Linked DNA regions of Mytilus edulis. The protein of the gene in region 3 interacts with the protein of the main gene of each other region in a pairwise test. Links are inferred from orthologs where the notes say so. Each region holds a gene or a part of one and is shown on either strand. Other genes may lie near its edges. The genes, in order: C-terminal-binding protein 1-like, homeobox protein Meis1-like and pre-B-cell leukemia transcription factor 1-like.

The links.
Region 1: the proteins of pre-B-cell leukemia transcription factor 1-like (region 3) and C-terminal-binding protein 1-like interact in a two-hybrid assay, tested with the Drosophila melanogaster proteins (2 studies listed by BioGRID, with this or other methods). The link is inferred for Mytilus edulis from reciprocal best matches to the Drosophila melanogaster genes exd and CtBP.
Region 2: the proteins of pre-B-cell leukemia transcription factor 1-like (region 3) and homeobox protein Meis1-like interact in binary tests that used the Drosophila melanogaster proteins (3 or more experiments, as listed by UniProt). The link is inferred for Mytilus edulis from reciprocal best matches to the Drosophila melanogaster genes exd and hth.

The regions. Positions count from the first base shown.
Region 1 is NC_092347.1:74,060,455-74,064,217, forward strand, and holds the start of C-terminal-binding protein 1-like, read right to left. Parts: upstream 2,844-3,763; 5' UTR 2,604-2,843; intron 2,207-2,603; exon of another isoform or gene 1,860-2,206; intron 1-1,859. UniProt on the Drosophila melanogaster protein: Corepressor targeting diverse transcription regulators. Hairy-interacting protein required for embryonic segmentation and hairy-mediated transcriptional repression.
Region 2 is NC_092346.1:31,664,714-31,668,476, reverse strand, and holds the start of homeobox protein Meis1-like, read right to left. Parts: upstream 2,286-3,763; 5' UTR 2,064-2,285; intron 1-2,063. UniProt on the Drosophila melanogaster protein: All isoforms are required for patterning of the embryonic cuticle. Acts with exd to delimit the eye field and prevent inappropriate eye development.
Region 3 is NC_092345.1:80,585,832-80,589,594, forward strand, and holds the start of pre-B-cell leukemia transcription factor 1-like, read right to left. Parts: upstream 2,422-3,763; 5' UTR 2,190-2,421; coding exon 2,002-2,189; intron 1,865-2,001; coding exon 1,791-1,864; intron 1-1,790. UniProt on the Drosophila melanogaster protein: Transcription factor which acts with the selector homeodomain proteins altering the regulation of downstream target genes such as wingless (wg), teashirt (tsh) and decapentaplegic (dpp), thus affecting segmental identity.

The DNA.
Region 1 (3,763 bases), on a different chromosome or scaffold from region 3:
ATGTATTCCTACATCATGTACATGTTTATGTACTTGTTAAAATGTGAAGTTTTATTGTAATTCATGTATGCAATGTGGACTTTTTCCACATACATGCACGATGTGTCAGAGCTTAAGCTACTGAATGGCATGGGTGAAGAAGCTGTTCTGTTACTTAGCTTTTTCCAGTCACCATGGTGAAATAAATTGTCAATCTGGTTGTCCTACAGTTGTCCACTGTGTTTAATGTTAAAATAATTCCTATAATTTTGAACAATACTAACAATGATATATAAAGTATTTCAAGCCTATGTTGGGACATACCCTGAAAACATTTAAACCTTATGCTAGCATGCTTATCATGAAAAGGTTCATTGTAAATGCAATATTGGCACCTTTTATTACAGTACAACCCGCCACATTATTTATGTATGTGCCTGTCCCAAGTCAGGAGCCTGTAATTCAGTGGTTGTCGTTTGTTTATGTGTTCCATATTTGTTTTTCATTCATTTTTTTACATAAATAAGGCCGTTAGTTTTCTCGTTTGAATTGTTTTACATTGTCTTATCGGGGGGCCTATTATAGCTGACTATGCGGTATGGGCTATGCTCATTTTTGAAGGCCGTACCGTGACCTATAGTTGTTAATGTCTGTGTCATTTAGGTCTTTTGTGGAAAGTTGTCTAATTGGCAATCATACCACATGTTCTTTTTTATATGTATGTAAGAATGATCTTTATTTTGCGGAAAAATCCCATTATATGTTGTTTTCAGCTGCTATGAAGCTGATCCACTATGAAGACCTAAGACATTAAATTGGACATCTACATGTACAAATGTACACAAATTTAATGTCTTTAATTTACTCCCCATAGGTTAAAATGTATCAACAGTGTCCCAAATGCAATTTTTCAAACTTCAAATTACTTTCTTCCAGTGACAAAATTTAATTAATCATTGCTCAAGCTGTTTACATATTATTTAAGTTTATGATATCATGTTCAAGATAATTTATTGATAATCTACAATACACCTCATAAAGTTGGTAGGTTCAAGAGAAAAAAATAATATACAAGCAGATCTTTAGTTTGCACCAAATAAACTGTTTTAAAGATCGGGGAAAGGATGATAGTTATGAATTTTGAAGGCTTGTAAAAGTAATAGGGCATTTCAAATTATAAAGATGGTGGCTTAAATTTAATGCATGAAGGTATCACAATGCATAAACCCTCTAGGGAGAAACACTGCATGTTACATGTATTAAAGTTCTTTAGTCACTTCTTAGTTCTAGAAAAGTAGCAATTAATCCTGTTTTAAAACGGTCAGTGACTGTGGTATAAACATAAACAAAATTGCAAATTACAATTATTTTCATCCAGATAAGCAGTTGTATCTATGTAAATCAGTTTCAAAGTTCTATAAAAATTCAAAAATACAAGTCTCTATTAGAAAATAATTCCCTATTTGGTCTAAAATAATGCACTATATGCATGTTAGTATTAAGCTTATTTCAAAATAACTGATCAATGAAAGCTGAAAAGTACAAATTGTATGGATAACCTGTCTGTCACTGTGTCTATCCAATAATAAACAATAAGGAAACTATGAATGCAAATATATATCCTCAAGTTGGTATTTAATAACTACTATATAATTCATTTAAATTACTGTTTAAATCAATAAAAAATAAAAAAAATTATTGCACAAGAAAATAATTGCATCTAAATCTAAATAGCCTGCAGATAGCTTGTACAATATTTGCCATTTAAATAACTGATAATCCATTTTATGGATTTATCTGTATTTAAATATTTTCTTTTAATGTATTTAACCTGTAACAACTTACATATAGATACTAATATCAATTCAATATCAACTCACATGATAAACATGTCTTTATTACCACAAGAACTTATTGATCTTCAAAAAGATACACACGTATATTACACACATATCTTATGACTACCAATCAAGAAAAGTACACTACTGTTAGATAATAGCATATCAGATCAAAAATAAACCACATACTAAAACATCAATACAACTTAGCATGTTAATCAATATGTATAATAAATCATTTGATTATCTGTCTGCAATGGTCTGCTATAATAGACATCATTTTGTGCCACTGTGTAATACACATCAACCAAACAATGACAGGAAATAGTTTATAAATCCATGTTGGCGTGTAATGGACACCCTTCTACTTTGCTGGGGGTCATTTGCATAAACTGCACCGAAACGAAATGCCAACTTGTCCTTCCATTTAATTTTTAACGACTTTCAATTTCTGTTTATAGGGCATTTGTGTATTCAGAACAACCTAATATATGTGCATTTGTTGTTGATTTTAATTAACTTAAAGACAGAAATGAAATAATTGATTAAATATTGTGATTATGAACTATAAATGTGCATATCCGATACATTGAGGCATGCCTTTGATCTCAAAATGGTTGACCCAGATATTTCATCCCTTTTCAAATCAAAGTCTTTCGATGTATTAACAAAAACGTTACATCTAATTATATAGAAGGGGAACTGAATGAAAGCGGTGATAATTAAATGTAAGTGAACATAATGAAAGTGTGTCACTACAGATGAAAGTAAACAAAATTAGCTCACCTATCCATTAGCACTTTAGACAAAGAATAGAGGTGATGATCCTTTGAAACTTCAGCGGCACAAATAACATATATCACTCGTAATATCTCACCTTATCAGGTGTCTATAGATGCAGAAATTATTAATTGTAAAACATGTGCACATGTGGGTAAATACTCCCCCTTTAAAGTGATTTAAAACGAGTAATTTGGAGGCCGTAACAAGCCGGTGCTCTCCGATAGGCTATCCAAGCCGAATATAATCTCGCACAATCTCGGAGGACAAACATTTTATCCAATATCCTTTAAAATTTTATTTTTGCATACAATTTGAATGCAAATGATAAACTAAAATAAACAAAATAAATAAATATGTTTTTTTTATTTATTTTATTATTAGGTTGCGTTCGAAATCTACTTGAGGACGCTCTATTTCCCGCCATTTTAACTCTCGTTATGTTTAAAGCTTTCACATATTGATCATATTGCTAAATTGTGATACGATTTAATATTATTTACTATCTTTAGTTTATACGATAGATCAACATTCTAACCCCTTGATAGATTCTTTGTTTTTATTTCGTTTCCCATTCGTACTGCGCCATACACTTCTTCACTTCTTAACCGCTGAAATTTATTCGATTTAACTTGTGACAATGGTGATATGATATTGAGCTACAGCAATGACCACACAGCAAAGTGTAAATAAAGATAACAGTAGTATATTTGGTAATATAAAACATTCTGTTAAATTAACAATATTACATGACTCAAAGACGTATAACTAACATAATATATATGCATGACTGAAATACATTAATTTTGTATATCATAAATAAATGCAGCAGGGAACATTCAGGACAGAGAAATACATAAATAAATAATATACTAGTACATTTCGAATATTAATAAACACCTACATTAATACAACAGTTCACAGAAAACAGAATAAAAAAATTGTGAATTGTGCAGGGGGCGTAGCTGCCGTTACACATAATTTTTCCACAAATATTTTTTTTTAGTAAAAAAAATAATAAACAACGTTATCTGTAGATGAAAGCCGGTGAAGTTGTCAAAACTCTTTTATTATCGAATGCCATGTGTACACTAGTCTCTCGTCCTTAGTGAATGGAATATTGGATAGAATTCGAATGTTTTTACGATTTTAACTTATATAGAAAC
Region 2 (3,763 bases), on a different chromosome or scaffold from region 3:
TTAAGTAATTTTGTGCTTATATACATCATAAATTAAAGTGCAGTGTTTCTTAAACAAAATGCTTACAAGTAGAATATTATAGAGAGTTTTAGGAGGCTAAGTTTGGGCCTTTTTAAAGACCTCAATTTGATGCACGTGCGTCCAAGTAATGCGTTTACAATTTCCACTGTAATTTGGATTTGAGAGCTGGTTTCAAAAACTGTATTCGTAAACTTTGCACTGTAAAATATATCTAAAAGACTAATATTGACAGACAAATCAGACAGACACATATATATATGAACAGGGTTTAGAACCAACCGTGCGAGGGCTGTATAGCCAGTCAATGTCGTTAAAAACTCCCATCCTCAGGGTTTAGAAATAACCAGATATTAATTTTCCTCTTACAAATTGTTCGCAGACAAAGTTTTATATATATAAATATGCATAGACTAATTTTATATGTAAACTTCATTCTGACCTTCAAGGTCCATTTTTACTTTCACTCAAGGTTTCTTTCAATAATGCTAATTCAAGTTTCATTCAATATTACATTAATAATAATTTAGATCGTTCACATAAAATCTTTTTAATTCTAAAATCGGAAATATTAAAAGTTTAACAAAATATGGTTGCACATAATAACGTCTCTGATTTGGCCATGGCCGTTTTTGTATGATATTGGTAATTTACAAGTTATGACGCAAATCATTTTATTAGTTCTATCGATGCAATTTGGAATTTAAAAAATTGCATGTCTGAATTTGTAATTTCTAAACTACAAAAATAATGCAATATATGAATAATTAAGAATAAATTTAAAGAGAAAATAATCCCATGTGGCGCAACATGATTCAAATATCCAAAAAAAGTCGACCTACAACAGATATAGTATTGCATATATTTCAAATAAGTTGTAACTATAAAGTAGATATTTTCCCCGCAAACTTTTGTGAGTCCGAAGCGAGTTTCTGGATATGCCTTCATCAGGAACGCTAACACATAACCAATTTTTAAAGTTAAGAGAGTTAAAATGATTATAATAATAATAATAATAATAATAATAATAATAATAATAATAATAATAATAATAATAATAATAATAATAATAATAATAATAGATACTAATAATAACATTTTAATAATAATAATAATAATAAAGTTAATAATAAAAGTTTATAATAATAGTATTAATAATCTTATATTATGTTATGATTATTCAGTTCAAATGGAAAATCATTTAACAGCGTCAGAAAATCGAAAAATATCAATTATGTTGTTACATGAATGCGTAAAAACATATTCAGTTTTGACATATTGCGATGTTAACCATGAGTAACCCCAAATTGATATGGAACACAAAATTATACGAATAGATAAAGGTGTTTGCGTGTTGTGTTTTCTATCCAAATAGATAGGTTTACACACACCGTAGAGTTTACTTTCTTATGCATAACTTCTCCCCTATAAAACCCAAATAAAATACATCTGCTTTAAATATTGATAAGATAACAGACAATTATTACAAATAAAAGCACAACAAAAATCCAGCTAATTAATTATAAGTCCAGACATACTGCAACGTACAATAAAGTTTCCCAAAAATAGTCGGAGTTATATAGAATGCACTAATTAAATTTGTAAATGAAACAATTCCATTTAAACTTGATCACAGTTTTTAAGTTCCTTCTTTCCCTAGCTCCACACAACGTAAAAGTTACTTTTGTAATTGTTCGGTGATCAGTTTTGACAATTTGTAAACAACCATAAATAATCGTGGGCTAATAGATATTTCTTTTATCAATGATGTGTATAAAAATTGATGGGCAGTGAATTTTGAATGAATTGCGGACAGGTTGGGGAGGGGCATGTTGTCAAAATGTCACGAAGCAATCAACTGTGTAATGCTTTCTACCAGGTCCGCTTTAATCGATGACCAGTCAACCTGAATATTATGTCATGTATAACAAAGTAACATGTTACAAAAATGAAAACTAATCAGTAATAATTTGCGTGATTCTTTACCACAAATTAATTATATCTGAAGATATTCTCTACTAAAGTGTTGATTAAAAGCTTCTTACCTTGTGTGCGACAGTGAGTTTTATAATCCCTTGATTAAGATAGCCAGGACTGGATTACAACCCATATGTCAATATTTTAGTCAAATACTTGTGTGAAAACACGACTTCCTTAGACAGATTCTAATATTTTATGAGTCCGTGTTTTAGCTTGTAATGACATTGATGGGTGAAATTCTCTCATACAATAGTAACGAACACCTCCAAACACCATTATTCAAAGGTGGGTGGGAGCTATGTCAAAACTTTCCTTATAATAATTGTGGATATCGTATATATAAAATTATCATATTCTCTCCCCGAGTTGTCAATCGACCAGTTAAAGACGAATCGTAAGGCAACAAAATTTCTCACTACAGTTTACTTCAGCAGTTTTGCTAATGAGATAAAATGATTCTAAGGATTTTTTTCTCATCAGATTGTAGTTCTTTCATATTCAGTGATAAACATTTTGAAATATAACTCCTATTGTGATGATTATTTTTGAAGATATTATTGGTGTCTTTATTAGCAGAAATCTGCATCTTTATTATAATAAAACGTCCTTTTTATTCAGATGTGCAAAACTGTGTATTTAAAATAGTTTTTTTTACAAGTTATTAAATACTAATGAAATATATTTATGGACTTTTTATGGAGAAATTTGAACACGCACGTTCCGTTATTAATTTAATACTTAATTATTGACTGTATAAATTGTTTTTTAAAACTCAGTTGGGGAAATTAAATTCTAGCCCCTAAGTCGACTCCAAGTGTAGATAATACATCGAATTATATAATTATATGACTCCCTCGGCTTTTCAAATGACAGCAAACACCTATATTTTGCGGGATGTATAAATACGCACTAACGCGCGGCTGTGGACGTTTCAGTTTTACAAGACTGCCTGCATCTCGATAGATTAAACTGTTGTTCTCATTGTTGAAGGCAGGCCGGTGACATTTAGTTTGATTTTTGTGTCATTTGGTCTCTTGTCACGTGGACAGTTGTCTCATTGACGGATACCACATCTTCTTAAGTTTATATTTACTGATATATGGTCAAGTTCTTGTTGTAATGGATATTCATGAAACATTTGACATCGGATGCAAGACAACCAGTAATCAATCTGTTTTCAAACAAAACAGCCAAGGATATTTTGTAGTGTTTCATACATGAAAATATTATTAAAATTATCATCATTTCATCATATATTGTTTACAAATACTAGTCCCAACTCTATAAATTGCTTTAAGTCCAAATCCAGTTTGGTCTCGACTATCATAAAACAAAAGGTTGCACACGTTATTAGTTTAGAAATAGGACACTCTATCAGGTCATTCTTTGAGATTCTCCAGTCTCAAAAAATTTAAATTTGATGATTATCTTTATTAGCTGAAACGTAAATTAAGTGTCAATTTTACTGGTGCCACAACATTTGGTTCTTTTTCTTAGTCGTAAAAATTCAAATAGAAAACCAAAGTTCAGCTTCTCCAGTCCAACACTGAATAAAACCGATGCTGAAGAGGCTGGTGTCTGTTTATGTATAATTCTAATGTCCAATGATTCAACTTTCACTGTTTGATAAGTCTATTGAAACGCACACTGTCTCATACTAACCAACACATTCTCATCCTTAAATGGGAATCCAACTCTCGTCCTCAAATCTGATCGACCAATCGGTGCTAACCCATGATTTAAAAATGGGAGACAGACAAGCCAA
Region 3 (3,763 bases):
ATGTATATTTGCAATTGTGCATCTGAGTCATCTTCACTTATTATCCAAGTTGTAGACTAGACAAGAATTCATGACAACAATCTTTTTTTGTTGATCTTGTTTTGCAGATTTTTTTTTCTATTTTCAGCTGGCTTGCCCATAATACAAATAATTGGGGAATGCATCCCTATGGACACAGATATTGACAATTTGTCCCCACTTTTCATATGATATAAAGTTATAAAGGGACATACATTGTAACTAAAGAAAGGTAATAGTGATGCTACCTAATTTGAACTTGATCTGTATTTTGTGGTAATGAGCATTGTGTACAAGTTTCATAATTTTTGGTTGAGGCAAACTAAGTTAAGAGTACGGAGAAGAAAAATTCAAACATTTTATCTATTTGTAAAGGGGTATAACTCTAAAACAGTTATAGTGATACCACCAAAATTAATAAAAATTGCCCTTTTAAGATCATGACCAGTAGTAACAATGAGATATTGAATGGTAGTGCAGTGAAAACAGTTCACCCCCCAGTGGCGGATCCAGAACTTTTCCTAAGGGGGGGCCCGCTGACTGACCTAAGAGGGGGCCCGCTCCAGCCATACTTCAATGATGCCCTATATAATCAACCAAATTTTTCCCACGAAAGGGGGGCCCGGGCCCCCCAGGGCCCCCCTGGATCCGCCTATGACCCCCTGCAACAGATTCAGTATTAACTTAGCTTAATTCTAAATCTTTTAAAATTATATCTGGATTAACTAATTAATTTGCTTTTCAATATATAGATGGAAGCAAATATAATTGTACATTTGTATTTGCAACTTCAGCTTGATACATTGTTTAATTTGAACCTTGATTAATTTGAACCAAGTTATAATTACAAGTACAGCAACAATTTCAATTGTCCTACGTTTTTGTAGTTATATTCTTATTATATACAGTCTCCCACAAATGTTTATAAGTTATCATGCAATAAAACATTTTGAAAAATAAGCCAAAAACAGTTTTTTCCACAGTTCATTTTTTTTTTGGTTGGAATAGATAGACTTAATTCCCCCCCCCCCCCCCCCCCCCCCCCCCCCCCCCCCCGTTTTTCCTCACTTGAGAACTGATTTTTCAGCCAAAATTAGTCACAAATATTACAACAAGCCATTTGATACCCTGAGATATTTTTTTAATGCTCCCAAAAATATGTAACTATTTCTTTCTAGTTGAAATGGCACATATTCAGTTTAAAACTTGCAAGTTTCACGCTGATAAACACTGATCACTGCTGATTAAAATTGTCATTATTGTTCACAGTAACTAACATTTTTAACTGAAATTTAAAAAAAAAATGTTTTTAACAAACAAAATATTCCATTTTCTTTTAAATGCATGATCATGCATGCTTTTTTGAGTGAAGACTGAATATAATATTGTTTTTCTTAGCATTTGGCTTATGACCTTACATGTATTTCAGGGATAGTTCTCAATATTTGGGAAACTTTTCCCTACTTGGCAAGTTGATCTTTTCTTTAATACTGTCATTAACCTTACTTTGATACAAAACTGTGACTTTATCACTTTATGTGCAACTAGATCACTAAATGTGTATCTATAATACACATAGTTGTTAATTAAGTCACAAATCTTTGACAAAGTATTTGTTTGTTAGTAAATTATATGAATTTACAAATGTACAAACAATGTTTACCAAACTTACTTTTTTTACCAAATAACTAAAAAAAAATACAAAAAAAATATTTGGAAAAATAATATAGGTTTCCATACAAGAGGCTTAAAAAAGGGTAAATTTTACACACCTGTTTTTTCTTTGATTTCACATAATACACTAAATAATGCAGGTTTCATTCTGTGACAGTTCAATGTGTGTTTCCTGCAATAAAGAAAACAAGAGCATTACTAAGAACTAGGAATATTATTTCATAACTTCGCGCTGAAATATATCGAACAGATAAGAGAGTAAGAGAAAATTTGAGAGACGACAGGCATAGAATAAAGGAAGGCATGTACCGGCACCTTGCTTGTGCTTCGTCAAGGCTTTGGTCTGTAATTGTCATTATCTGTTGAAGAATATCACCAATTTCTTGCTTTCTCTGGTCCGAGGGATCGTCTCCCTGTTGAGGAATCCCATACTGTTGAAGCACATTAGTGTTCGCCATTTGTCCCTGGTTATGCATCATTCTTTGCTGGTCGTCCATTATTTCACAGTAGGTTTTATTCGACCTTAATAATCCATTTATGTCTATGTTAAGTCATTAAAACACTTAGCACTAATTCCTACAATGCCTTTGTTTGGATAATAAACAAATCCTAAACGTAAACAATGTCCACACTTATGCCAATCTGGGAGGGCTTTTTGTCACTGCCAGTCAAAATGCCTCTAAACAGAAATGGCGGCTCGTCATGCATGCAAAGAACATCATTCTCTCCGTTAATGCACAAACATCCAATGAAAACGCAGATTCGATATCTTCGTATTTTTCCGTAAGGAATGTTTTAACTAGATATAAATAACAGCCAATGAAATGAGGAAAAATTAGTCCCGATACCACACGCCCTTGACGAAGATTGACAGCTCGGAGATGATTATGAGATGACTATCTATTAGAGGCCCCAGGAAGGATAAGCACAATAAAAAACAAAAATGCTTCGCTACGTATTTTCACCTTTCGCAATGCATTCCAATTAAACAATTTTTAAAGAAAATCCGTTTTTTTTAATTAGAAAATGAGATATTTTTTTTTGTGATAAAGGATAAGAATTATATTTAAAAATCGACAATCATCAAGTCTTTAAATGAGGACAATCTGAAAGGAGCTGTATGATAGTGCTACGCATTAAATGCAACCTATAGACAGTTTTAGTAATGTAACTTGCATGACTAACAATAATCCGTTTAAGTTTATGCAAAATTACCTTTTAAAATATCTTTCTGTGTGACCAACCATGTACCCTTTGTCAGGCTATACTGAAGTCCAAGAGGCTTCCAACCATTTTGTGTAAACTTTACCTCATCTTCAATAAACATGAAATAGTTGCAAATAGACATTTATGAATTGAACTAAAAGGTCAAAAATAAAATTATATGAAAGTTATTTCACATTGACAGGTTTTTTAATATACATGATTGCAGCCTCACAAGTGTTGATATATCCTGATTTTTTGGGGGCTTTTCTTCTTCATGTCCAATCTTGCATTTATTTTTCAAGATTTTGTTTCACTTTGGCATTTAGTATACCAAAAGAAGATGAAAAAAAACAACATGGTTCTGAGGTCTATGAACTTGTAGTATCATGCTTACTGCGGTATTTAATTGAAGAAAAAAACACCCCACAAAACAGAGTATAAGGATACACACAATTTTTTTTCTTCAATTTTTAAGAAACCATCAAATTGACACATTATTGCATAAAATCAATTGTCAATAAATCATTCATGTCAATCTTATTGACAGCTAAGTTAAACATGGATGAAAGTTAATATGACGGACACAAAACTCCTATGGGCACTCATATACATGTACTTACAGAGGAGCCATTGGCTTCGAAAGGCCATTATAACTGAACAAAACATCATATGAACGATAACATCTAGAATTTTAGGTCAAATGTTTAGCCTATTGTTTCAAAAGCTGCTAAATATGTAAAAATGGTAAACAATTCTCTAAATATTGTTATAGGTCCTATCTATCTTCGGGTTATTGGTTTAATCGTCTATTTTAATTTTGTGCCAAAGGATATAGCCGCTTTGTACATGCTTTTATGTAGCCATA